7 linked regions of the Cricetulus griseus genome follow. The protein of the gene in region 4 binds, or shares a complex with, the protein of the main gene of each other region. Links are inferred from orthologs where the notes say so. Each region holds a gene or a part of one and is shown on either strand. Other genes may lie near its edges.

What was found.
Region 1: Strn3 (region 4) and Stk26 share a complex: the UniProt entries of both Homo sapiens proteins name them as parts of the core of STRIPAK complex. The link is inferred for Cricetulus griseus from reciprocal best matches to the Homo sapiens genes STRN3 and STK26.
Region 2: the proteins of Strn3 (region 4) and Sike1 are in contact, whole or in part, in a crystal structure (PDB 6AKL), measured with the Homo sapiens proteins. The link is inferred for Cricetulus griseus from reciprocal best matches to the Homo sapiens genes STRN3 and SIKE1. Residues at the interface, in NP_001077362.1 of Homo sapiens: Arg176, Leu179, Tyr182, Leu183, Val186, Tyr188; in NP_079349.2 of Homo sapiens: Glu96, His97, Ala100, Leu103, Ile104, Ser106, Lys107.
Region 3: the proteins of Strn3 (region 4) and Strip1 are in contact, whole or in part, in a cryo-EM structure (PDB 7K36), measured with the Homo sapiens proteins. The link is inferred for Cricetulus griseus from reciprocal best matches to the Homo sapiens genes STRN3 and STRIP1. Residues at the interface, in NP_001077362.1 of Homo sapiens: Thr64, Pro66, Gly67, Leu69, His70, Tyr71, Gln73, His74, Val88, Glu89, Ala91, Glu92, Ala95, Arg96, Phe99, Leu100, Glu103, Gly106, Gln107, Leu110, Asp113, Leu114; in NP_149079.2 of Homo sapiens: Arg441, Ile445, Tyr447, Leu449, Thr455, Val456, Val457, Gly458, Leu459, Arg491, Ser492, Pro493, Leu494, Ser495, Phe792, Leu793, Pro794, Val795, Asn797, Cys798, Leu799, Val802.
Region 5: Strn3 (region 4) and Stk25 share a complex: the UniProt entries of both Homo sapiens proteins name them as parts of the core of STRIPAK complex. The link is inferred for Cricetulus griseus from reciprocal best matches to the Homo sapiens genes STRN3 and STK25.
Region 6: Strn3 (region 4) and Strip2 share a complex: the UniProt entries of both Homo sapiens proteins name them as parts of the core of STRIPAK complex. The link is inferred for Cricetulus griseus from reciprocal best matches to the Homo sapiens genes STRN3 and STRIP2.
Region 7: the proteins of Strn3 (region 4) and Ppp2r1a are in contact, whole or in part, in a crystal structure (PDB 6IUR), measured with the Homo sapiens proteins. The link is inferred for Cricetulus griseus from reciprocal best matches to the Homo sapiens genes STRN3 and PPP2R1A. Residues at the interface, in NP_001077362.1 of Homo sapiens: Asn109, Leu110, Asp113, Arg116, Arg117, Lys119, Met120, Leu121, Tyr123, Ala124; in NP_055040.2 of Homo sapiens: Leu10, Pro12, Val15, Asp18, Glu19, Asn22, Leu27, Asn30, Ser31, Lys34, Leu35, Thr37, Ile38, Leu40, Ala41.

Annotation. Positions count from the first base shown.
Region 1 is NC_048604.1:19,104,084-19,108,247, forward strand, and holds the start of Stk26 (serine/threonine-protein kinase 26), read right to left. Parts: upstream 2,801-4,164; coding exon 2,758-2,800; intron 2,673-2,757; coding exon 2,599-2,672; intron 1,778-2,598; coding exon 1,308-1,777; intron 1,192-1,307; coding exon 1,041-1,191; intron 1-1,040. UniProt on the Homo sapiens protein: Serine/threonine-protein kinase that acts as a mediator of cell growth. Modulates apoptosis. In association with STK24 negatively regulates Golgi reorientation in polarized cell migration upon RHO activation.
Region 2 is NW_023276806.1:53,975,811-53,979,769, reverse strand, and holds the start of Sike1 (suppressor of IKBKE 1), read left to right. Parts: upstream 1-1,159; 5' UTR 1,160-1,460; coding exon 1,461-1,619; intron 1,620-1,807; coding exon 1,808-1,913; intron 1,914-2,900; coding exon 2,901-3,043; intron 3,044-3,959.
Region 3 is NW_023276806.1:49,539,204-49,542,703, reverse strand, and holds part of Strip1 (striatin-interacting protein 1), read right to left. Parts: intron 3,359-3,500; coding exon 3,141-3,358; intron 2,288-3,140; coding exon 2,222-2,287; intron 2,117-2,221; coding exon 2,053-2,116; intron 1,154-2,052; coding exon 1,082-1,153; intron 529-1,081; coding exon 454-528; intron 277-453; coding exon 179-276; intron 1-178. UniProt on the Homo sapiens protein: Plays a role in the regulation of cell morphology and cytoskeletal organization. Required in the cortical actin filament dynamics and cell shape. Part of the striatin-interacting phosphatase and kinase (STRIPAK) complexes.
Region 4 is NC_048598.1:150,652,855-150,656,354, forward strand, and holds part of Strn3 (striatin-3), read left to right. Parts: intron 1-765; coding exon 766-899; intron 900-2,438; coding exon 2,439-2,614; intron 2,615-2,775; coding exon 2,776-2,823; intron 2,824-3,103; coding exon 3,104-3,225; intron 3,226-3,500. UniProt on the Homo sapiens protein: Calmodulin-binding scaffolding protein which is the center of the striatin-interacting phosphatase and kinase (STRIPAK) complexes.
Region 5 is NC_048595.1:445,073,187-445,076,686, reverse strand, and holds part of Stk25 (serine/threonine-protein kinase 25), read left to right. Parts: intron 1-2,538; coding exon 2,539-2,769; intron 2,770-3,500. UniProt on the Homo sapiens protein: Oxidant stress-activated serine/threonine kinase that may play a role in the response to environmental stress.
Region 6 is NW_023276806.1:197,891,294-197,894,793, reverse strand, and holds part of Strip2 (striatin-interacting protein 2), read left to right. Parts: intron 1-11; exon of another isoform or gene 12-368; intron 369-983; coding exon 984-1,104; intron 1,105-2,123; coding exon 2,124-2,192; intron 2,193-2,389; coding exon 2,390-2,496; intron 2,497-3,209; coding exon 3,210-3,337; intron 3,338-3,500. UniProt on the Homo sapiens protein: Plays a role in the regulation of cell morphology and cytoskeletal organization. Required in the control of cell shape. Calmodulin-binding scaffolding protein which is the center of the striatin-interacting phosphatase and kinase (STRIPAK) complexes.
Region 7 is NC_048602.1:19,092,718-19,096,818, reverse strand, and holds the start of Ppp2r1a (serine/threonine-protein phosphatase 2A 65 kDa regulatory subunit A alpha isoform), read left to right. Parts: upstream 1-1,301; 5' UTR 1,302-1,382; coding exon 1,383-1,460; intron 1,461-4,101. UniProt on the Homo sapiens protein: The PR65 subunit of protein phosphatase 2A serves as a scaffolding molecule to coordinate the assembly of the catalytic subunit and a variable regulatory B subunit.

The sequences.
Region 1 (4,164 bases), on a different chromosome or scaffold from region 4:
AAATGAATCTCCAATCCACAGAGTTTTGAGTCCTACTAGAAACATAAGTTATGCAATGTTCCAGACATTTTCTAACTTGAAAAAAAGTTTCTTTGGTTGGTTTAGCATATTTAAAAGATCACATAAAACCAGTGGCAGTGTTTTTAGCCTCTGATCTATTCTTCATAAAGGAGTTGTTTATGCTACCAGGTGGTGGGGGTCAAATGTAAATGGTTTAAAATGTTATAGTGGGTTTAAAAAAAAACAAGATGTGTAAAAAGTCTGTTGACATAGATTTTTCCCTAATAAATGATACCATAATGGGGCAGAACTGCATAGACATCGAATAGGAACTTGGATCCCACTCAGTAGTCCTTTGGACTGGACAAATGCTTAATACACCTTATGAGAGAGATGAAGAGATGGGCCTGGGAAGTCATCCCTTAGGTACTCAGAATGGGACCCTGCATTCTTTCCAGCACTTTCCCCTGTACAGGTGGGGGAGCGAGATACAAGTTTGCTTTAAGTAGCACTGAAAGGGAAAAGAAGTCATCTCACTCTTCTCTCTTTGCACACAGGAAGAGCCCAATTCAATGCCACCACCACTCCTGGTGTCGCTCCGCCCCAACTTCTGTGTGTGTGCCGTGTGGGGGGCACCGCTTGGGTGTTTTAGCCCACACATCCCAAGATCCCTTCATCTCATCTAGGTTAAGTTCTGGAACAACACCGCCACCCCCCCCCCCCCAGTCCTCAACCATGGCATGATCAATAAGCCAACAAGTACAGGTGCCTAAGGTTCTGGCCTATTTTTATATGTGCACCCCTCCCCGCCAACCCCAACCCCCATTTACTGTCGCGCCCCAGTCGCCCCAATCTCTCCCGCGCAAAGCACCTTCTTAGCCCAGACACCAGGAAACACCTCGAGCTTTACTTCGGGGTCACCTGGAGAGAGATCTGGCCCTACCTTCAGGTTTGCCCGGTGGCTGCCCCTGGTCTCTGGTGCCCAGAGCGGGGCTCTGGAGCAGTCACGTGGGTGGCAGAGGAGGCCTGGGCTTTCTCACCTGCATCCCGGGCACTTGGACAGCCACCGGTGAGTGGGCCATGGAGGCGATTGCTACTTCGCGCTGCTTCTGCGGTGGTGGCGCCTTCGGCTCAGACTGGCTCCTCCTACAGGGGTAGCTCGGTTGCTCTCCCAGGCTTCTCGATCCGGGCCTGGAAGGACGCAGAGAAGTGGAGTTAGTGGGCTGGAGGCTTGCAGCCTCCACTCCTCCAACCCCCTTGCTGGGAGGTGAGAGGTTCGCGGCACTGCTCCCCGGGACTCAGTTTACCTCTCAGACACCCGCCTGCCGAGGTCGTGGCCAACTGGGTTGCTGCTCCTCTTCCTGAATGCAGGGCTGTTCGTGCGGCAGTGGCTGGGACCTGGGCTCCAGTGATGCCGCTCGGCTGCGCCTCGCCGCTTTAGGAAGAGGAGGTGGAGGCGCCCCAGCAACCCGCCCGATCGCTTAGCCTGGGAGGAGGTTGGGGGCGGTTCCGCACTTGGCCCTGCCTCCACCCCGCTGCCGGGCGGTGTCTGGGGAGCTGAAGCTTCAGGCTGCAAAAGGGTTTGGCTAAAGTAGCTGGAGTCAGAGAAGCAGGAGACTCTCCGGATTTGTAAAAAGCAGCAGAAGCCTGGGATCAAGAAACTTGGAATACAACTGGGCCTGGAGAAAAATAGAAGAGTGTGCGAGAGCTGGAGTCGCGTGGGGGATATGAGGGCGACCCGGATGAACCCGGCCACGTTGCAGACAGGCTGGGGAGGCTGTGTACCTCACAGAGGCGTGTAGCCTCACAGAGGTCTGTAGTTGAAAAAGTTTTGCTTGGCTCCCCCACCTGGCCGAGGGTGGGGCCTCCGAGCCAGACACCTGCTCCTTCAGCGCCTTAGGCTCCTGTCCTCTTGCTTTTCAACTTTCTTACCCCTAGATATGCCTCAAGTCACTTTATCATGAACCTGTCCCTACCTTAGGCTATCAGTTAAGGAATGGAGTGGCTGAAACTTCTCACAATTTCTGCGTGTTTAAAAGAGCGGCAAATTGGAACGGATCGCCCATTGGCAAAAAAATTAAGGAGGATAACAGGGGCAAGGAGCATGAGATTAGATCTTTGGCAGCACAGATAGTTATACTTAGCATACATAGCCATGACTTCTGCAACCCTTTGCCCTTTTCCAATTTAAACTCAACTCCAGGAACAAGGCAAGCCCTTTTGGGGGGACCCAATAACAACAGTGACAGTGATAATAATAGCAGTCACAGGAATCTCAAGGAAGCACCTTTGTGTACACAGAAAGGGCTAATGCTAATAATAGGCAAGAGCCAGTCTAACATGAGAACACACCTTTGCAGTTTGTTCCGAACCTATGCACCCAACACACTGTGGGGGAAGCTCCAAGTAGACACTCAGCAATTGCTATTCTCAATTAATTATAAAGGAAGAATAGCATTTGTTGAGTGTCTGTTTTCTCCAAGAGAAGAATCTGGTTCTTATCAACATGGTTATTACTAATATTTTATTTTCTTTGGGCCAGACAGCCCTAAATTCAGGCTTTGTGTTTTGTAGTGAGTTACTGTGACAAGAGCTCACCTGGGTCACACTGCTTTCTCCCCATTGAGCAAACAGAGCAAAAGGCTCAGCCAAGTAAACATTTGACTCAAATACTGCAATTAAAAAGTGATACATCAGAGAATTCCAATCTAGGTACCTCCTGACTACTTAACTACCTTCTATATGGTTTCTGTTTACTTGGAACGTTATTAAAGGACAACATTGCGTCTTCCTTAGTCATAGTGCTTCAAGTCTAAGTGTTCTCTATTTCTACCAAATCTAGTGTCTATTTCCCACTAGCCCAGCACACACTTTATACTAGCCTACTCAGAAGCATGCAATGCCACTTAAACTTTAATGCCCATAAAGATCTCAAAGGGGTTTGCTTGTTTATTTGTTTGTCTGTTTTTGAAGACATGGTCCCACAATATTTGTTTGTCTAGCTTTGGAGACAAGGTCCCTGCCTAGACTGGAACTCCCTACATAGACCAGGCTGGCCTCAACCTCACAGAGATCCACCTACCTCTGCCTCCTGAGTGTTGGGACTGAAGGCGTGTGCCACTGTGCTGGGTTCAGAGGATCCTTTCAAAGTGAAGATTTTGAACCTGCAAGTCTGGAGTTAGCCCAAGAATTTGCACTGTTAACAAGGTCTGAGACGATGAGATGAGACCAACAGTGATTCTTAGTAATGTGAATCAGGCTCCATCATTAAAGACCCACCTCAGGTAGGTCCATTGAACTTTCTTAGACCCACCATCCAATTTTCATAGTTGCTCTGTGCTCACATTCAGAATCCTACCATGTGTACATGGAAGCAATGCTTACACTGTTGATCCTTCTTTGTATTTCTGACATTGCATGCCTTTTATTTGACCACCAACCTTACTATGTGCTTGAGGCCAGAGATACAGCTTCTCTTCTGTGAAAGTTATTCAAGAAGAATGGTAACTCTCTGACAGTGATCTTGCTTGTTGTTGTTTACTGCAGTATTCCCAGAGCCCTGCAATGTTCTGTGGCACCAAGTAGGTCCTCAATATATATTTGTTAATTGAGCAAATGCATTTCCTTAGAATTCTTTTCTGATGTTGGTATGTGTATTCTGAGGAATATATATATATTAAAGGCGTGCACCACCACTGCCTGGCGGAACAGTATATTTATTATCAGGCTAAACTCATAGACACTGCTCTTGGTTAACCTTGAAGTTTTGATCACTTTTTATATGTTTTTATATATATTTATATATTTTTAATATATTTTTATATACCATTCAATTTTGGCCTAATGTGTTGTTTCCAGCTACTTAAATTTTACAACTACCTAAGAGAATGTTTTATAGTTCTAGTAAACAAGTGAACTCTAATCATAACAGAGAAATACCTTTCCTGACATCATGCAAGTCTAGAATGATGCAGTAATATTGAAGAATTAACACTAAACTTTGACATCTAGTCTACTGAGACAGTTTCTGAATGGCACCGATGAGCACCTTTATTTCAGGTATGTTCATCTTGAATAAACCATTCGTTATTGCTACTATTGATAAAGATCATTTGGGGATTTATTTGGGGTTCCTTATGGATTTGCTTATGCTTTTTTATATTA
Region 2 (3,959 bases), on a different chromosome or scaffold from region 4:
AAAGAAAAAAGTATCGGGGTAGTGGTGGCACATGCCTTTAATCACAGCACTAGGAAAGCAGAGGCAGGCCTGGTCTACAGAACTAGTGCCAGGACAGTTAGGGCTACACAGAGAAAACCTGTCTCAAAAAACAAAAAGAAGAAAGAAAAGGAAGGAAGGAAGGAAGGAAGGAAGAAGGGAGGGAGAGAGAGAGGGAGGGAGGAAGGGAGGGAGGGAGGGAGGGAGGGAGGGGGAGGGAGGGAGGGAGGGAGAAGTGAAGCAAATAAACTTACCTAATTCATTTTTCCAATTTATTAAAAATTGAATTTGTAGCCGGGCGATGGTGGTGCACGCCCTTAATCCCAGCAAGTTCCTGGAACTTGCTCTATAGACCAGGCTGGCCTCGAACTCACAGAAATATGCCTGCCTCTGCATCCCGAATGCTGGGATTAAACATGTGCACCACTACCACCTGCCTGTTTATATTGCATACTGAACTAAAATTTAGTGTATCACTGGCTGTTTTCCCCACTTACTCCCACAAGTCCCCTGCCCTCTACTCTCTATGGCATCCCAAGACAATAAACCGGTAAAAGGCGATCTGGAATCCATACTGTTTTTCTTTTCTATCCATTAGCGAGTCACAGTTCTTGGGTGTGTTCTATTAGATAAGGGAACTGCCATCTCACTTGTGTGTCATTATATTTCTTGGGTGCCACATCCCTAAGTCCACTGCCACACTGGTAAGTGTAGCCTTCAGTAGTTTTGCATACAGTCCCAGTCCTCATAATCTAATCTTAAAGCATTGACAGCATCCCAAAACATAGCTTCGATTTGAGACCTGAAATACTAATGTGTGTGTGTGTGTGTGTGTGTGTGTGTGTGTGTGTGTGTGTGCGCGCGCGCGCGCGCGCGCGCACGCTATTTGTATACACAGGTGCAGTTGAGTATGTGGAGGTCAGAGGACAACCTCAGTCACTGTTCACCTTTTAAAGGAATGGGAAGGGAGGGAGGGAGGAAGACAGGAGAGAGGGGAGGGGAGTAAGAAGGGAAGAAGGGGTGGGAAGGAAGAGGAAGGACAAAGAGGAAGGAAGAGAGGAGGGAGAAAGTGAGAGGTTCCAGTGTGTGTTCACTTGTGTGGGGGGGGGGGGAGGTGTTTGTTTCATCGATTTGTTGAAAACCCATGACTAAATAACAAACCACATCCATCAAAACCAGAAGAAAAGGAGAACTGAGACAGGAACAGCTGTAACATCGTGAAGAACCAGAATTTGGGACCAAGTCGACCTCTGCGGCTCCACCCAAGAAAATCTGCGGCGAAGCCTGAGTTACCGCGAATCCGCCACTGCGCAGACGCCGACCAGGCTGCCCAGGCGCCTTTAAAGTGTGCCCGGAAGTGACGCGATCGCGCTGATCTCAAACTGGGGAAGGGCTGAGCGAATCGCTGAGGCTAGCGGGCCGGGCGGGCGTCCTCGGCCACTATGAGCTGCACGATCGAGAAGATCCTGACCGACGCCAAGACGCTGCTGGAGCGGCTGCGCGAGCACGATGCGGCGGCCGAGTCGTTGGTGGACCAGTCGGCCGCGCTGCACCGGCGGGTGGCGGCGATGCGGGAGGCGGGCGCCGTGCTGCCCGAGCAGGTCGGGCCGGGTCGGGCCGCGCCCTGGGCGGTGGGCGCTGCGGGGAGAGGGCAGGTGGGGTCACCGTCTAATTATCCTGGTGCGGAGGACAGGGAGGGCTTGAGAGCTTCCTGTGGAATGGGTGGGACTGCTGCCGCCTCTGCAGCACCTGCTGTGTTTGCAGCGGCTTAATCAGTCTCTCTGTCCAGTATCAAGAGGATGCACCCGACGTGAAGGACATGTCTAAATATAAACCTCACATTCTGCTGTCTCAAGAGAATACCCAGATTAGAGACTTGCAGCAGGAAAACAGAGGTTAGTCGGGCTGTGTGTGTGTATGTCTAGTAATACTTTGAACGTTCTTACACAAGTGCCTGAATAAGTTCATAAGCTTACACATCTCATAACTAGGGTCAGTGCTTAAGGTCAGTGCTTAAGAGGGTCATCTGGTAACAATAAAGTCTATTAGGTTGCTCTTTTTTAAGTCTTTGAAAGATGAGTTTGAAAGAGTTGTTTAGTAGAGTTGAGTTGTTTGGTGGTTGGGGTGGGCACATACCAGATGGAGGCTTATATAACTAAAATTCAGAGTCTCAAAATGTAATTTCTGATATATGTTAGAGTGAACACTAAAGTTAATATCGAAGTAGGTTTTTTTTTTTTATTTATCTATTTTTTTTTTAATGTTCCTGGGCAAGATGGAAGGCTGAACTTTGTCTCCAGAATATACATTCTTCGGGTTGGTAATGACAACAGTATGGCAGTTGTCTTGCAGAGACCTTTTTACACCTTCCGTTCCATCCCCTGTTGTCATTTTGAAGTCCACAACCCAAGTGTTTACACAATGCAATTAAGAAACAGGTTCACATGAGCCAGCAAGATGGCCTAGCAGGTAATGGCACCAGCCTGAAGAGCCAAGCCTAAGGACCAGAATTCCATTGGAAGGAGAGAAATGACTCCTGACCACACATGTACACTGTGGTATTTGCACACAAATCAACAAAATGTGATAATATTTTTTTTAAATGGGCTCATTTTGCTTCTGAGTCTTAATTAAGCAAGTAAATGAGAAAACTGAATTCAAATCTGTGTCTTATGATTACATATCCCATTTCCTTCTACAAAAGTCCACTGCCTAGAAAATTGTTTTTCAGATAGACTTTACTCACTTCTGTGGGCTGGAATACCAATTTCCAAGTTTGGATTCACAATATCCCATGGAGTATCAGAAAGCCCCAGCTGTTAGGAGGTTTGCCTTGAGACCTGTTACAGACATCATTGCCCAGATGTTTGCTTTTTTGTTAGAGCTGTGGGTTTCCTTGGAGGAACACCAGGATGCTTTGGAACTCATCATGAGCAAGTACCGGAAACAGATGTTACAGTTAATGATTGCTAAAAAAGCAGTGGATACCGAACCAGTTCTGAAAGCTCACCAGTCCCACTCTGCAGTAAGGAAACCCTGATACATAAATTATAAATAAACCAAACTGAAATCCTGAGTTGTTGTTTTGTTTGCAGAAAAGCATGTTCCTCTTTCATGGTTTTCATAGTCACTCTATCTGACTGAAGCTTTGTGAAGATATGAATAAAGGAAGGGGACGGGGGCTTCTCACATCCTTTTGGATGGTGTCACCTCTCTCACCAACATCTATTTTTCAACCTGAGATAGGACAGTTTAGAGTTGTAGGCCAACCTGGACTACATAGCAAGCTAGATAGCAAGCAAGATGGCAGCTAGCGTTGAAGGCATTCCGTGAATACTTTGCTGATTACTTGTATGTTCTACTAAACCATGAGTTTTGTAGTGTTGAGGGCATTAGTTCAGTTTTATCCATATCTTCCACATAGCAAGTAGTCACTAATTTCATTAAATTATTCACATTATGTTACCGGGGAGTCTTGTTCATTTTGTGGCAGTTCCTCTATTTTAGTTTTAGTTGCTTACTATTTAATTTGGAAAAAACTAACTAGTTTTTAGTTTCTACAGTGCTTACTTATTATATATTTGCATGTATTGTGTATTTTAATTTTTAGTTCTTAAATTGGAAGCTACTATTTACTACAGTGAAAGATACAATTTACATTTCATCTCCCATTCCATTAGGTGGATTTTACTGACTTACAAGTTTTAGGGAACTGGGATGTCTTTAAATATCTAAATATTTGAGTTATTGTCTGTTTTGTTACTTGGGGATGGGGACGCTAGGTCCCATTTAGTCCAGGCTGGCTTGGACTAATCCTTAACTCCTAATCCTTTCTCCTCAGCCTCCCAAGGACGAGGATTATGGGTATGTGCCACCACACCTGGCACCTGGGTGTCAAATGGTCTTTAGAAAAATGGAAATTATTTGACGTACCACAGATT
Region 3 (3,500 bases), on a different chromosome or scaffold from region 4:
CTGTGCTGAGATTCAGGCTACGCCATCTCTCTAGCCAGGGAAACTTATCCAGTAGTTTCCTTCATCTGAATCAAAAATACCCTTGACTTAACCTGCAGCAAAGCTGGGCCAACAAAAGAAACCAACCTGAAAAACACTGGCCCTCTTTCTTCTACCCATTCATAGCACTGATACTCACGGCATCTCCTCAGGCAGAACATCTGCCAGGATGTTGATTGAGTCTGTTTTGGCTTTTGATGTGGGAGCTGCAGCCAGTAGGATCTTCAGGAGGGCAATCTGGGAAAAGCAGACTACTCAGATGGGCATCAGAGCCCAGGGCCATAATGGAGTCCTGAGAAGTGGGGTCTGCAAGTGGCAGGAGCCTTGTGGGGTGAAGGAGATCAGCCTATAGGGTATCTCATCACAGGTACCCACTGATCACCCCGAGAGAGAGGTCCCAGACAGAGTACTCACCATATACTGAGGCAGGCTGGGGAGCAAGCCTTGGTAGAGGGTTTCTGCAGGAACTTGTTCAACTTCTTCTTCTCCCTTTAATACAAAGTCACAAACACAAAAACCTATGTCCAGACTACAGTCTCCTGAGCCAGAATCTCTAAGTATTAAAGTGAAGAGTGACACTGATGATAATGACAGGAGGTTCTGAAACATACAGCATGGCAGGAACTTCAGTTGGATAGTTTAGTTAATTCTTATTATAACCTTCTTCATAAGGTACCACAGTCATACATGTTCACAAACACCTGTAACCACAGCACTGGTTAGGCCGAGAGGTATCTGAGGCCATTCTGAGCTGTACAGTGAGGCCATCTGGGTTATAGATAGATGTTATCTCAAATAAACAAGCAAGTAAATAACAATGAAGGCACTAGTCTATCACCGCTTTTATTTTTTTTCTACAGGCAGGGAACAAAGCACCAAGAGATCAAGTTTTGTATTCAAGCTGCTGTTCAGGGACTGAAAGAGCAGGACACGGACTGGAATCTCTTCAAGGAGAGGCTGAGCAGAGCAGCTTTATGGACCAGGCCCAGCTAGGAGACTGAGAGCAGTTGGGGACACCATGGCTGTAGGCCCCTAAACTCACCCCTGAGAGAGGAGAGCGAAGGAACTCCTCCTCCATCTGTGCCTGGACCTCTGCAATTGATGTATACTTGTGCTGAAAAGAGAGGCAAGAAATATGGTGCTGAGAAAAACACCCTTACTCTCTAGCCACACTCCCTCTCCCCTCCCCAGGCTGGCAAAGACCCAAGATTTTATTCTGGTCTTCTGAGAGAGGGCTAAGTCATAGCAAAGATCCCTAAGAAACTGCAAACTTATAATAGCTCTCTAAGGAGGCATCTACTTCTGACAGCCTCTGTGAAAAGCCCACAGTAGATCAGCAAAAAGCAAACTACAGTGGGGGAAAGAGCTTTCAAAAGCAAAAATGACAGGAGCAAAAGACATCAGAGGCAAAAGTAACTGTGTACTCAAAAAGCCTAGCTGCAGAGACCACGTGGTATTACCAATTCCAAAACTGGACTTAAAATACGACAGTCCAGATACATCAGAAACACTCCTCCTGATCCCTGGTGTCTCCCCCCTCCCCACCTCATCCTTACTCCCACAGCTCCTTCCCAGCAGGGAGCACAGGAGAAAAGCAAAATGGTCTTGGCCCCACCCCTGCTTTAGACTCCACCAGGCTACCTGCTGAGAGCCTTTGTCCTGTTGGCCCTCCAGCTGTCTGGGACTGGGTACTGAGCCTGCCAGATTTCTAAAGTAAACTTAGCACACTCAAGGTGCTCATAAGTCTTGCTCCCCAACCATTCTGTGAACAGCGAGGCTGACAATATCATCTAAACCTGCAACTCCTCTCAAACCCAAGGTTTCTTATAAGAAGCCTACTTATGGGCTCCTTCAACTCTAAGGCTGTGTATAACACATCCCTAAAAGATGTCACACTTAAGAAGAAGTGCTTCCCAGCTCTTGTTGGCAGATAATAGCCTTGAAAGGCTTGTCCTTTCTCACTTTACTCACCTGGGACTAAACAAGGCCAAAAGATCCCTTAGGGCCACTTACCTGTTTCAGTGTCTTGATGCTTTCGTGGATTGGCCTTGGCAGCCCCACCACTGTGTTGGTGTCACTGGAGAACAAAGAAAACCTTGTGCTGAGCCCAGACATCCACGCACCTGTCTACTGCCCCAAGGTGAGGCGAATGAACCTCAAAAGGAACTCAGGTCACACTCACCTGCCTAGAGTGTAGCCTATGAACTTGCTGCGGCTAGATTCAAGGAACATCTCAATGTCTTTCTCTCTACCAAAGGAAGAAAGAGGGACAGATTTTTACCACGTATTGTTTCAAGGTATGCTACTATCTTAGGCCTGTGTTCTAATAATCAAAGCATCTCCAAATTGTGACTCTAAGACAAGGAAAGGTCTCTTACAATAAGGGGAAAAATCTGAATTCCAGCTAATTTTGTTGTGTTCATAAACTTGAAGTACGTTTATATTTCTATAACATTCATGGCTAGCTGACTCAAAATCAGGGAGGCATATTAAACTTAAAAGCACAATTTATTCAAACAATAGTAATATTTAATACTTTCAAACACTAAGAAGTGTAAGAGATATAAGTTACAGACTTCAAACGGGTCATTTTCTTGTCTCAACAGAAACACCTTGGCTTTTTGGGTTCTACATTCTTCTCACTCAACCCAGAAAGCTGAGGACTTACCCCTTTTACATCAGTTCATATACACATCTATTCAGTTCATAACACAAGATGCTGCCTATTAAGATACACATTTCTAGCTACCTTTCCATCTATTGACTCACCCAAGGATACTGTTCAATGCATTAAGTGGTTTTATAAAACTCTTCATCTTTCGTTTTATATAAAAAGCCATATACAACTCTAATATAAGTGGGGATAGGTTTGCCTAAATACACATTTTATTTTTCCCCTATCTCTCTTCACTATCAAATTTGACCAGTTCAAATTACTGACACAGGAGCTGCACAAGGGTTATTTGTGTGCTATCAGCAAGACCATCCTCACAGATGTGCCCAGGATGGCATGGGATAGTTTAAGGTCATCTTAGCCTTGCAGAGGCGCTCAGGTCAACACTGGCCTGAGGACATGAGGGGTCTAGAACTCTGAGACTCACCTGACCTTGGGAGCCCAAGGGAGCCCTTTTGGGCAGGTAAGCCTGTCAGTCTGAGGGTGCTGTAGTGGGGGAGGCATCACCTCGTCTCGCTCAAGGGGAAATGTCTCCCCCTCCAGGCTGTTGTCATCGTCATTCTCCTCTTCCTCTTCTCGAGAGTCATCAGTCTTATAGGGGTCCCGCTCATTGAAGGCATCTAAATTGTCCTGCTTTATCAAGGCCTGAAAGCACAGGGAACGGGAGCCGAGAAAGCTTGACAACTGATGAGATGATGGCAGAGGCAAGCAGTTCAAATGGAACAGAAAGGTATCAGATAGGGAGCTGTGACACTGAAGAACACAGAGAAGGACCTAAGACTAGAAT
Region 4 (3,500 bases):
ATTCAAATGATTGCACTTTAATTTGCATTGCAGTATCACTGTAGAAAGTTGTAATAATACACAAGGCACAGATGAGACGACTAAGGAAAGTGAAACTTCCCTTTCAGTTTTTATTGATATTGAAGTACCCATTCTGATCTGAAATCTAAAGTTCTGCCGTTAATGTATATTACTTGTTTCTTACTTTAGCAACATTATAATATACAAAAAGAGGGCATTAAAATGAAGCCATAGGGAATGTTTTAAGGTTGGAAGGCAATCCCTTTAGGACACTGACATTATTAGGAGAGCCATCTTTTCCTGGACCATCTCTGGCACTAACTGATAGGCTTGTATATCAGAGTGTTTGTAGTAACTTACTGACTTAAAAAAACAAAACAAAACAAAACTGCTGTATGAGCTATTCTGAGGTTGATAGACATCTGTTTCCCATAAGTGGCTGATAACCTGATTATTTAATCAAAAACTGTCCTGTTAAAATTGACCGAGATGGTAAGGGATCTAAATAGACAAGATCTTTGTGTTCTGCTTCCATCCTGGGATAATTATATGGTGTTTATTCAGTCTGTGGAAGATTTCTACGTTGTAGTTTCAGGACATTGGTTTATTTCTATTCAGTAGTAGGACTTTTTTTGTGTGTGGAAGTGGGAAGTAGAATTCATAATATTGCTGAATTTTGTAACTGTTTCGTGCTTAAATTCCCCACAATATTGTATTGTACTGTATGATTTTTCAGCATTTAAGAAGCGGTTTTGTTCTTTATAGCTGAACCAATAACGTTTCCATCTGGAGGAGGCAAGTCATTTATTATGGGTTCTGATGATGTTTTGTTAAGTGTACTGGGCCTTGGAGACCTTGCAGACTTGACGGTAACAAATGATGCAGACTATAGTTATGATGTAAGTGCAGTTTTATTTTTAATTTTTTAATGATTTAATAGAAGGCTCCTTATTCTTTGGAATCATTTATAACAGTGAATTAATGTCAAGGTGCATGGAAAACATGTTTAAGTGTGTTGATGTGTTGATTTGAAATAACATGTAATTTTGCTTTAAGTTTTTTTCCTTTGTGGTGTATAAATCTTTCTTAGGAATTTTGGTGGATTAGGTAAGAGTTTGGGGTTATTACCTTAAAATATTGGTTGTTAACTACATCTTGAGTAATTAACTCTTACTAAGTTAAAGCCATATTTTAGTGTTAACAAAATAAATACTATCGAAATCAGGTTTTTGCCATCATGAAAAGTCTTAAAAGCCATGTTTTGTTTTTGAGCTCTTATTTTGTCAATCACAACAAAGTTAGCTTGTATCATTTCCTAAATGTTTAGCTTCACTTGAGGGCTAGAAGAAGGAGATAGGAAGAACTGTGTTAGTATTAGACAGGTGTTGATATTTTCCAAGCATAAACACTCGATTAGAGTTAACTATATTTTAGATTTTTTTGCATTCACTTTAGTTTTTCAGCAAATTTCTTCCTTTTTTTAAAAAATTTCTTTTTTAACATTAAAAGAAATTTAGACTTAATTTAGGATGTTTTTTGTAACGATATTTGCCTTGGTGGGCTGGGCTATTGTTACTAATAATTTTTAAAGCATATTTACAACTAAATTGAGTAAACTTTTAACTGCTTTAGAATTGGATTAACAGCTTGTCTTTACTGATACAGAAGTAAAGGTGAAAAGATTGAGCTTTATTATTATGAAGGATTAGGAAAAAGTGCTTGCTCAAAGCCCTGGGCTTGATCCCTAGCACCACATAATCTTGGGCAGCGTAGCTCATTCCTGTAGTCCTAGTATCTGGGAGACAGGGCCAGAAGGATTGGAAGTTAAGGTTAATTACATATGAGCTCAAGGGCAACATGAAACTCTGTCTTTCAAGGAAATTAAAAAAAAAAAAAAAGAAAGATGTAGGAAAATATTCTTAAGGAGTTTTTAGTTCATTGTTTTAAAAGTCCCTTAACTGTCTGCCTTGGAATTGTTCATATACTGGTCAGTTTCCTAAATGGAAACTATTGTGTTTACTGTAACCTTGAGTATTTGGTAATGTTTATATTCTGTTTTGGTTTTGTGTAAACTATTACAGCAGTGACAGTTTTCTGTTCTCATCTATCTCATCTGACATTTGATAGGAGTTTTGGATTTATTTTTTATTTTATTTATTTATTTATTTATTTTGATGATTAGGTGAAAACAGATGATAAAGGAACTCTTCTACCTGGATATTTGAAAGTCTTACAAAATTATTTTTCTGAATTCTTATATTCTGAATTCTTACATAAAGATAGACTTGCTATGGAGTTTTTAAGGTCATTAAAACAGCTTCTGGATATTTTAGTGGAACAGTTTTATATGTTTTAAACACACCAAAAAGAAAACAGAAAGTCCACATGCCTGCCAGTTCGTTACTTTTACCTGTAAATAGTGCACTTTTTCATTTTAGTTGCCGGCCAATAAAGATGCCTTTCGAAAGACTTGGAACCCCAAGTATACACTACGTAGTCATTTTGATGGAGTGAGAGCATTAGCTTTTCATCCTGTAGAACCTGTGCTGGTTACTGCCTCTGAGGACCACACCCTGAAACTTTGGAATTTGCAAAAGACAGTTCCTGCCAAAAAGCAAGTATTTCAATATTGATTGTTTTTTCTTCTTTTAATTTTGTTCATATGGATAATTATTATTCTTTACTATTCCTGTGTTTTAGTATGTCTGTATTGTCAGCCAGTGATTCACAATGATTTACTGTGTTCTCTTCCCCCATCCCTTTTTTCCCTTTTAGGAGTGCCTCTTTAGATGTAGAACCTATCTATACATTTAGGGCCCACATGTAAGTTGGTTTTTTTTTTTTTTTTTTTTGGTTTATTTTTTGAAATAGTACTTAATGAGCAACTATAATCTCCAAACCTAATTTCCCCAATATTTGGTGTTAAAGGAGATATATTAGTTTAATAATGCCTTGTTTGATTAATTATATTTGAATATGATCAAATAGTACTTTTCAGTTGTACATTTTTACCTAAAACCTCATAAATGATTAGATTGAGGGATGTGGGGTTTGAGTTTCTTCTTAGAATTTATAAGTAATTTTTCCTCTCTTTCTATAATAGTGGCCCTGTTCTTTCATTAGCTATTAGTTCTAATGGAGAACAGTGTTTTAGTGGTGGTATTGATGCAACCATTCAGTGGTGGAATATGCCTAGTCCTAACGTGGATCCCTATGATACATATGGTAAGTAAAGGGGCACAATGGATCTTTTCAGTGAATAGACCTGACAGAATTCTGTAGTTCAGATGTTATTACAAAGTTGTTCAAACATATAATTTGTTCATTTAATTCTACTTGCTAGAAAGTTTCTTTATTTAAAAAGACAAATATTATGGCTTGAGAGATGGCTCAGGGGTCAAGAGCATTGGCTGCTCTTCCAGAAGACCCAGTTCAGTTCCCAGTATCCACAATGGCACAACTGTCTGTAACTCCAGTTCCCAGGGTATCTAACACCTTCA
Region 5 (3,500 bases), on a different chromosome or scaffold from region 4:
TGGGTAGGTATGTATGTACCACAGTGTAAATATTAGAAGACCACTTATGGAAATTGGTTTCCTCCTTCCATGTGGTCCAGGGATCAAACCCAGGTTGTTAGGTTTGGTGACAAGTGCTTTTACCCACTGAGCCATCTGGTCTTGGTCTTTTTCTTTTCCTTCCTTCCTTTTTCTTTTTTGTTGTCGTCATCTTCTTTAAAAAAAAAAATAGGTTTATTTACTTTACGTGTATGTGTGAGTATATGCATGTATGCATGTGTGCATCACATGTGGGAAGTGCTTGAGATCACGTGGGCTGTTGGGAACCAAACCCATGTGCTCTTAACTACCGAGCCATCTCTCTAGCCCCCTGGCCAAACCAGAGCACATACGGACACCACAGCTAGTCTGCTCAGAGTGCCTGCTCTGGGCCAGGCATGGCACTGTGGCACACACTCGGGCCTCTTGGAGGCAGCTTTGCTTAGAGGGGTTAGGTGACTTCTGTGTTAAGACACTGCCCTTGTGCCTGGAGTTCTTCCCCGAACTTCTCTCTGCTCACCTCATCTTGTTCTGCAGTTCTTGGCTTGTCGAGGGCTGGGGAGTGTGGTCCTCTGTCTCTTCCCTTTACTTCTTTCACGGTTAAAAACCTTAAGAATGTAGCTAGTTGGCAATTTTGTCTCAGATGGGGTCTGAAACCAGTTGCTTTGCTTGCAGAGAAGAAGCTGGGGCAGTTAGGCTTCAGGGAATCAGGCAGCTATGTCAGTTTTGGAGGACAGGCTTCTTAGAAACATGGTAAACACCTAGGACAGGCTCTTCCCTAAGCAGAGGGATTTGCGCATCAGTACTTAGACAGTTGTAAATAAGTGTGGTTTTGCCTTTTTGTGTCTCGGCCTCCCACCCCCCCATTTGGGAGCTGAATTCCAGGCCTTGGGCATGCTAGGCAAGTGCTCTGCCACTGAGTTATTTCCATGGTCCCCCCCTTAAAAACAAAACAACACCTCTCCGTGTGTGTACCATGGCATGTGTGTTGTCACTGGACAGCTTTGGGAGTCAGTTCTCTTCCACCATGTGGTCTAGGGAACCAAACTCAGGTTGTTAGTCTTGGTAGCAAGTGCCTCTACCAGAAGAACCATCTTACCCGCCTGATTTGGGTTCCTTTTAACAGGCACCAAAATACTGTTTGGGGGACATCCTTTTGGGGTGACCATCTCCTAATGGAGGTGAAACTTAGCATGGTTGAAAACCTGGATGAGACTCAGCATTCCCCTTTGAGGTCTTGTGCCAGCGTGGCCAGTGGTATGGAGAACATGTTCTTTTCCAGTCTGCCAGGTAGCACAGTAGGGACATTCAGTGGTGGCCCTGGGAGAGGCTCTTCTGCTTCTTTCCTCTCTGGAGGCAGCCCTGATTCAAAACCTAGCGTGGTTTGGACAGAGCACACACCTTTGCCATCCTGGCTCATCTTCAACATGATCGGTTCAGCAATGATAAGATCCTAGTTAAATCTGAGGGCTGTCTAGGGTAGCTTGTAATGATAAATCTTTACGCCCAGCTGCCTGAGTCCTGCTGCCATGTGGACGCTTTCCACCAGGCCATCTGAGTTCCGCCCGCCACCACATTAAGGTCCCAAGTAACTCCCAGAGACTTATATTAGGTACAAATGCTTCTGTGTTTAGTATCTAGAATTAAACATCTGAGAAAGTGTTCAACTCAGTACTGGTATGAGAATGTAGCTGGCTAGAGGACTAATTTGAGAATAGAGAGGCACTTTAAGTATGGAAAACATAAGTTAGCTTTGCTAAATTTTAATCTCTCGTTTTGTTTTTGATTTTTTGAGACAGAGTTTCTTTGTTTAACAGTTCTGACTATCTGGAATTCTGGAACTAGCTCTGTAAATCAGGCTGGTCTTGAACTCAGAGATCTGCCTGCCTCTGCCTCCTGAGTGCTGTGACTAAAGGCATGCGCCATGCCTGGATGAATTTTACTTTTAAATTACTGGGGCTATGCACATGTGAGTGCAGGTGTTCTCCAAGGCCAGAGACCTCAGATCCCCTGGAGCTAAGGTTGTAGCAGTGAGCACACACTGTAAGACCAGTGTGTGCTCTTGGCCACCAAGCCATCTTTCCAGTCCATTACTTTGTTGTTTTTTTTTTTTAGAACAGTTTTAGATTTATAGTAAAATGAGTTTTACAGTACCCTCTGGCACGCACATACTCCTACCTGTCATTCCTGATAGGTCTTGGCCTGGCTCTCTGTTAGACAACTGAAGAAGGCACTTTGAGATGTGGTATTGCTAATACATTTGATTCTAAATATACATTTGAGTTGAGTCTACAGATACTTTGATTCACTGTATCAAGTCTATTGAATATAGTGTCACTTGGAGAGTGGAGAGTTACATTTAGGTTTTCTGGACAAGGGATAAAGAAGCCAGAAAAGGATTGAGGTGAGTTCTCTTTAGCTCCTTGCAGTGGCCCAGACCCTCAGTCAGCAGTCAGCCCTCTTCTAGTATTTCCTCTAGTGGGTGTTGTCTCAGCATTCTGTCCCTTCTGGCTTATGTAGAATTCTCGTGTGGACCCAGAGGAACTCTTCACCAAGCTTGACCGCATTGGCAAGGGCTCGTTTGGGGAGGTGTACAAAGGCATCGACAACCAAACCAAGGAGGTGGTGGCCATCAAGATCATTGACCTGGAAGAGGCAGAGGATGAGATTGAGGACATCCAGCAGGAGATCACTGTGCTCAGCCAGTGTGACAGCCCTTACATCACCCGCTACTTCGGCTCCTACCTGAAGGTGCTGCCAGGAGAGGGGGCATCTATGGGAGTGGGGGGGCACTGAAGGCTCTGTGCCAGGGTTTGTCCTGTTTCCAGAGGAGTTACTATGTACCCAAGGTAGAGGAGAGCAGAGAAAGGCACTGCTGGGCACATGGGGATCCCTCTGGAAGGGCAAAGAGGCTCCCCTTTACCCCAAAGCTCAGCTTCACAAAAAAGTCTGTTCTTTTGAGAAGTACAATCTACAAGAGTCAGGTGGCTCTAAAGTGGTCATAGTGACCCAGCTGTCTTATCTGTGGGTGCTGTTAGGTACAGTCTAAGGGGTCCCTGCTGGCAGTACTGTGGAGGTCTGCCAGGAGGGCACTTGGGCTATTGAAAAAGACTTAGTGACTGCTCTGGGCACTTGGTCTGTCCACCAAGTGCCTGTACCAGAGGTATGGTAGCTGGGTGGTCAGTAAGACCTTTTCTCCTGCCCCTTCCTCTGGACAGGGTCTCTGCAGACCAGCCTGGCCTTGAACTCACAAAAGATCTGCCTATGTCTCTAAGTGCTGGAATTAAGGTGTATGCTTCCTTTTTTTGTTTGGTTTTGTGTGTGTGTTATTTTGTTTTTAAGACAGGGTCTCATTGTGTAGTTGTTTGTCCTGGAACTCAGCCACCTGCCACTCGAGTGCTGGGATTAAAGGCATGTGCCACCATGCTTGGCTTGGCCCTTCTTTTTAAAAATATTAATTTATTATTATTTTTACCTATATG
Region 6 (3,500 bases), on a different chromosome or scaffold from region 4:
CACTGAGGTTTTTCATTGGCATTTTGAAGATTCAAGCCAACACAGCAGCAGGAGGGAATGCTGGGAGTAATTTGGAGATAACCAGAACTAAATGAGATAAACTGGCGAAAGCTTCCCAGAAGAAACCTGCTGGCCAGGTGTTGGAAGGGGCACTGAGATATTCTTGCCAGAGTAATAATAATAAGCTCTAAGGTCATACATGTGAGGATTGCCGGGAAACCAACAGATTGGGAACTGAAAAGTTGTAAAAGAAGGAGAAGGAGAAGGAGAAAAGAAGAAGAAGAAGAAGAAGAAGAAGAAGAAGAAGAAGAAGAAGAAGAAGAAGAAGAAGAAGAAGAAGAAGAAATGGGAAGATTGCAGTAAATAAGGTGGTTCTTCTGAATCACTTAGGTCTGTGCTCTAACCAACTTCCAGCTGCCAACACAAAGATCATTTTGCTTAAGGCTCCGTCTGCAGCCCACACTGGGCAGTCAGGAAGTGGGGAGAATTGATACACTCAGTTCTCAAAAGTGACTAACAAGATTGAGAAGATAGGGGGTTGGTGGGGGTGGGGGCTGGGGGAGGAGGGAGCTGGGATTGACATGTCAAAAAAATGTCAAAAAAAAGATTGAGAAAATAATTTTGCTTATCTTACTCTGGGGTGAGCTAACTCTGAGTTGTGTGTTTTGTACTATTTCCAGAAAGTCCCCTGTGATTAAACTCTTTGAGCTGCCTCACTTCCCCTATTTCTCTTCTGGAGATTCCTGAAGATCCCTTCCCCAGTAGACAATTTGCATTTGAACCCTTATCTCAGGATCCACTGCTGGGGTGGGGGTAGGGGCTTAAGATGGACTTTTCTCCATTGACTCACTCATTTAAGGAAGTTCTTATGGGCCCTGTTTAGTCCGTGAAGTATGGGGAAAATTCCAAGAGCATGTGGCAGGGTGGAAAGAACTGGGGTAGCTGCCCCCTCCCAACTCCTACTCAACTCTCTGATCCTCTAGGCACTTTTGGGGAATGTGATTCAGAGGTGGATGTGCTTCACTGGTCCAGATACAACTGCTTCCTGCTCTATCAGATGGGGACCTTCTCGGCCTTCCTGGAGCTACTCCACATGGAAATCGAGTGAGAAGCCCTAGTGGAGGGCTGGCTTAGAAACGGTCTTAACAAAAGGGTTCACATGTCTGTGGATTTCCTCAGCACATTTCCCGACAGGTGTTGAGTCACCTCACATCTCCACTCAAAGCTCACCGGCAGTTTTCCCCTACCCCCTTTCTTTCCAGATTCTATGTTCTTCTACAATCCTGGGCTTCACAGGTTACCCTTTTAATCTAAGTACCTTCTCAGCTGAACCTAACTCTGGAATTCATATAGAAAACTTTTTCCATCGCAAACACAACACAAGAGGAACAGACGAGTTTCTGTCAATGTGCCTAATTATTTCCCTCAAGAGTTGTAACCGTAGAAGTGGCCCGTCTGCTGCTGCTACTACTACACTGGACCCTCTTTCTCTTACACCTGCCATCCAGGAGTTTCAGATACACTGAATTCTTTTGATTATTTATCAGGTCTTGCTTAGTATCTGTTTTGTGTCCAGAACAGTGGTAAGCATTGTGGGTGAAAGACCCCCGGAGACCCAGGCCCTCGGGATCTCAGCCCAGGACCATGGCCACCCCAATCACCATGCGGAGGCGAAAGCTTGATACAAACAGCACGAGGCTTTATTATAGTTGTTTAACGAGCTAACCCCATGTTAGTTCAGGTCTTTCATCCATCCACCATAGCGGATGGCTAGGAAAGACGCTTGGAAGCTACTGCATAGAGATCTTGTAGGGCAGCATAAGGGGAGTGTCTAGGGGTATGCACAGGCTCAGGATTGGCTTGGAGGGTTTGCCCTGTGTTGATTGGTCCCTTCATGGGGAATCACAAGAGAAATTGATACCATAGACCTTATCTTTTGCCTGTCTTCACCATAGATGAGGGTTTACTGAGGTAGCAAGGGAATTCTATGGGTTCCTGTACCTTAGATCAGTTTCACTGTGGATGTATAAGCAGGGAATGGCCGGTGTTTGGTAAAGAGTGAGTGAGAGCAGAGAGGAAAGAGGCCTTATGGGTCCCTGTTCTTTCATTCCTCTCCATGGCAGCAACAGCCAGGCCTCCAGCAGTGCCCTTCGGAAGCCAGCCGTCTCCATTGCTGACAGCACTGAGCTCAGGTGAGTGAGGGAGACCTTGGGCTTTGGACAGAGGGGTGATTAGCCTGGGTTACCCTTTTCCAAATCCCAGATGAGTCAGAAGTTCCCTTTTAACTACTCTTATCTGATTGGACTCCCACTGACATCATCCTTCAAGTCTCTAACTATAGTCTGGGAACTACCTTGGGAATCTCTTAGGATCCTTTTGTAACTTCTAGGGTGCTGCTGAGTGTCATGTACCTAATGGTGGAAAATATCCGCCTGGAGCGAGAAATAGACTCCTGTGGGTGGAGGACAGCCCGAGAGACCTTCCGAACTGAGCTCAGTAAGAACTGGCACTCGAGGAGGGGTGGGTATGGAGAATTGAGGGTGGTTGGGAGGCAGAGTTCCTGCCCGGCGGAGGAAAGCAGTGCTAACTTGTTATCTTTTTCTTTTTAAAATTAGCATCTTTTCTTTTTTAAGACAGACATGTTTCATGGGACATGAGGGCTGGGTTTTATTGCACCCCGAGTGTCTTAGTTCCCCTAGTTAGAAATGAGGATAACCATTCCTCTCTGGTTTCATCATGAATCCCATGTTGGGGGGAAAATGAGCTGAACTGCCTTAAAAATGGAACCTTTTTTCTAATGTAAGTTGAAGTAGTCATCTGAGAGAGATAGGATATGAAAGCATTTAAAAAATATATTTATTAATGTAAATAAGTAAAGAATAAAGTGTGGTCCACAAGATACCTTGATTCCTTCAGCTAGAAAGTCACATGAGAACTTCCTTAAAGTCCTTAAAAGTAATCATTACTGTTACTTCCTATTTGGTATGACCCTCAAAGCATTACCTTAATGACCTCTAGGGTGGGGCATACTATTTTACCACAATATCCTCCTCAGTCCTGTGCTTTAAGGGAATTGCCTCTGGGGGCTCATTATGCCTCCTCTCAATACAAAGTGCTCTGGGAGTTTTCAGGGAGGTTGAGTGCCTTCCTCAGTGTGCCCAGACTCTGGGATTTTTACTACGTCATCTCTGATTCTCTTTATACCTCAGGCTTTTCCACCCATAATGAAGAGCCTTTTGCCCTCCTGCTCTTTTCCATGGTTACCAAATTCTGCAGTGGCCTGGCGCCTCACTTTCCAATAAAGAAGGTTCTGCTTCTGCTCTGGAAGGTGGTTATGGTGAGTGATCTCCATTCCCGTCTCACTGATCAGAGCTAGACAGCAGAACTGGCTATCTGTTAGCCCCAGCTAACTGAGAGGAGCAAAAGGCCCACCTAGAATCATCAAATATTCTGTATCATTGGGTTTCTGTTTCTATTGGATGAATCCATTGGATGTCACT
Region 7 (4,101 bases), on a different chromosome or scaffold from region 4:
ATTCAGATCTATCTTTATATCAATGTCACTAGAAATTAAGGATTTTCAGCAGAAGAGATAAGGAGTACAAACAGAAAATCAAAATACTGCTAAGTGAAAACCTCAGTTTTTAATTCGGATTCTCACGATTTACATAAATTGATTAAGCATGCCAGTAAGAACTCATCGACATCTAAAAACGCCTATTCACACTAACCCCTGACAAGCCCAGTACCGGTTATCCTCTGGTAGTAACAAACACAACTTACGCGCCCCCACCCCATCTTGTGACTATAAAGGCATCCAGGATTTCCTAAAATGTCTAACCCAAGACAGTTCAAGAGGAGAGACTGGAAAAGCATCGCTAGATACGAAGGGAGACGACACAGGAAAGGGGAGAGGTTTCTACACAGATCATTCAACTCGGGAGGGACGCCTCGTCCACACAGCAGCGTTAGGGGCCACCTCTCCATACCTCCCCCGGGCTTCCCAGTTCTCGTGCCTCCACTCAGGGCCAGACAGAGACACACTTGGATCCCAAGGCACATCACGGATTACCAATGCCCACTCTCTCCGGAAGGGCGTTTTCTGTTTTAATTGTCTCTCTATTCTGAGAAGAGGGAGGGGGGAGGCAGGGAAGGGAAAAGCAAATTTAAAAAAAAATTACAAAAATAACCATGGGTCGCTAAGAGAAGATAATCTTCACAAGGCTGCAGCCAACCCTGCACCTTGCTCCCTCTCAAACGTGCATTTTTCAGTCTTAAGGGGACGTGACTGTGAGAATTCATAGGAGCCGGTAAGGGGGCGGGGGTGGGGGGGGTCCCAGCGCTGGGCGTACACCCGCAAATACCTTCCGGCTCGCTGACTTCTAACCAAAGAACTACATGTTCCTCAGCCGGATAGCAAGGGCTCGCCCAGTCCGCCCCGACCAGCCTGTCCTCCACTACGTCACTCACCGCTCTCCACACCCCACCTTACGCTCTCTCCGCACCGCCCCGCAGAGCCGCACCCCCGCCCCCCGCACCTCCCACCCTCGCTCCTCATTGGCTCAGAGCCCCGCTCGTTTCCGCGGTTGCCAGCGGTAACGCGAGGCGGGCACAATTTCGGTCGCTAAGACGCCCCACTTCCGCTTCCGATCGCCCGGCGGAAAGCCCAGCCCGCTTCGCCCCGACCAATGGAGCGTGGGAGGTAGGCGGGACTTGGTTGGTGTGGACCAAACAGACGCGACCCGGGGCGGCCAATGGGGGTGGGACGGCCCCTGTAGCGTGGCCCGGGAGCCCCCACGCCCTCTCGCGTCCTTCTCTCTCCCCACCCGCTCCCCCGCCCAACACGGCGCCGCCCCGCCCGATCCTGGATTCCGCCCGGCGCTGGCCGCAGCTTGACGGAGACGCCGGGGAGCCAAGATGGCAGCTGCCGACGGCGACGACTCGCTCTACCCCATCGCGGTGCTCATAGACGAGCTCCGCAATGAGGACGTCCAGGTGCGCCCGGGGCGCCCTGCCCTTAGAGCTGGGTCGTGGGGGGGAGACCGGGGACCTGCGGGGCGGCGGCGGAATGCGGGACGGACGGGGAGACAGAGAGATGGCTCCGGCTGCTCCGGGAGTGGCGGAAGGCAGCGGCGGCCAATCAGCAGCCGCGTCTCATCGTGCCGAGGGGCGAGACTCCATGAGACGGCGCTCCTGATTGGCCGTGGGCCCCAGCGGAGGGCAAGCCTCGAGGGTCCCTCCTGGGCGCGCGCGGCCGCCCGGGGAAATCTGTGCCCGGCGGCCCGAGATGGGCTGGGGCAGGGAGCCTGGGGCCGGCGGCCCGTCGGGTGATTGGCGGCGGCGGACTCGGAATGACCCCCCCCCCACCCGGGGGGGCGCGTGAGCCGCCGAGGAGGGGAAGCCCTCCTGGGTGCTGGGGACCTCGATTTCCCCATTGCTCCTCGGTGTTTTCCATCCTGGGCCCCAGGGGTGCTGATAACCAGGGCAGCAGCCCACTCCTCTCGGGCCTCCGCCTCGTATTGATGCAGGAGGAGGGGAGAGGAGGACGTGGAAAGGCATCCTCCTCTCCCGAAATTCGACTAGCCTAATTCAGGGACGGGTCACGTGTGCACACGCCACCCCACCCCACACCCCCTTCCCCAGGCTCGCCCCAGGCCGGACTTTTTGCCAAGGGAGGTGATAGTTCAGGTTGGCGGGAGAAGAGTGACCCAGGCCCAGGGGCTTTTAGTGGGTCTGCTGTGGTTCTGAAAAAAAAAAAGAGAGAGAGAGAGAGAGAGGTCAGACCTCAAGGCCTGAGGATGACCTTGTGTTCACGTTGTTCCATCGCCCCTGGCTTCCGTTTTCTACCAAATACCGGCTAATAATAGTCCTGGCTTACCCCGGTGGCTGAGGAGAGGTAGTAAAATAAAACTGGCCGCTTGTAAAGGCCCCGTAAATGTTAGCTGTTATATTTGAGGGGAGTGGCTTGTTGTGGTACCGTGCTCTGCGGCGGTGCCCCTGTTTCTCCTGGTGGTGCACTGGGTAACCTGAGGCTGCGCCCAGCCTCTAAGTCTCGTGGATATGATTCAGGTTCTGCTGCCAGACAGGCTGGAGCTGTATTTCCGGGCCTTGCACGTTTTGCTGATTGACCCAGGCAACCCAGTGTGAATCTCTTCGGTTAAATGGGAATAGCAACCTGGTTTTAGTGTCGAGTAAACACATGCGGTGTTACCAGGAATGTCATTGTTGGGGGCAGGCGTCGTGGTGCATGCCTGCAATCTCAGCACTCAGGAAGCAGGGGTGGTAGGTTCAAGGCTAGCCTAGTCCACATAGTGACACACTCTGTTGTATCAACAAAGAAACAGGCTGGTTGCTGCCCAGGAGCCAGGTGTGAAACAGGTAAAGAGAACTAAATAAATATACTACCACCTGTGAAAAGGGACGAGACCTGTCGGTGTTGCGATAATGAATCAGCAGTTGTTTGTTGGGCCTGTGTTCTGAGCTGTGCTCTGGGTGTTTGGGTACATCTGGGAGGAAAAGGACAAAAACTGGCCTTGGAAGAATCTACCTTGTAGTGAGGAGTGGCAGATTGTGTTGACTGTGAAAGGTTGTAAAGAGAAAAATAAGGAATATAGGGTGTATTGTTAGAGTAAGTGTGGAGAAGTCTTGTTGAAAAGTTGAGCCGGTACCTGCTTGTGGTCAAGGAAGGAATTGTGGGGTTCTGGGCAGAGTGCATAACATCTAAATGTTGGTCGAGGAATTGGACCAGTTCAGAGACTCCTTCCAGGATGCAATGCTTGAGAAGTTGGGGGTGAGGCTTACAGAAAGAGGGACTATACCTGTGCAATGACTGTAGTCCTCAGCTTGAAGCTATTTTTGCCACCAGGGATGTTTAGCAATGTCTAGGGATGTTTTGGTTGTCATAACTGGGAGATTGTTGCTGCTTTTAATGGGTATGCGTCAGGAATGCTGTTATACATTGTTGTTGTGTATAGGCCATCCCTCATGGAAGAAAAAAAGTCCCATTTAAAGACATTGGTACTAAGGTTGAGGGAAGCTCTTGGATGAAATATGCACCCAGGGATAGTAAGGAAGTTGGTTAGTTTAGGTCATTGTGCCAGTTTTGTAAGGCTTCTGTAACACTTTACCATAAATTTAATAGTATAGAGCAGCATAAAGTTTTATTTATGGTTCTGGAGATGAGAAGTCTGTCATAAGTCTCACTGGGTGAACATGACCTAAGATCTGGCAGCTGATTGATAACAGCCTAGCTTTGAATTCAAGCCACATGGCCTCACAGCTTTCTGCCTCTTCTTCAGCATTCACAGTGCCATCTTTCTGGGGGGGAAAAAAAAGGACATTGTTAACAAAATCAAAATTTTTGAGTGAAAGAACAGCTGCCCACAGGTGGCAGGGAAGCGCCATATTTAGGATCCCAATTCTTATGCATATTTGGTTTTTTGAGGCAGGGTTTCTCTGTAGCTCTGGAGCCTGTCCTGGAACTCGCTCTGCAGACCAGCCTGGACTGGAACTCACAAAGATCTGCCTGCCTTTGCCTCCCAAGTGTTGGGATTAAAGGCATGCGCCACCACTGCCTGGCTAATGCTTAGTTTCTGGTTGGGGGTTCATTGCTTTCCATAAAGTGTCTGCATCAGCA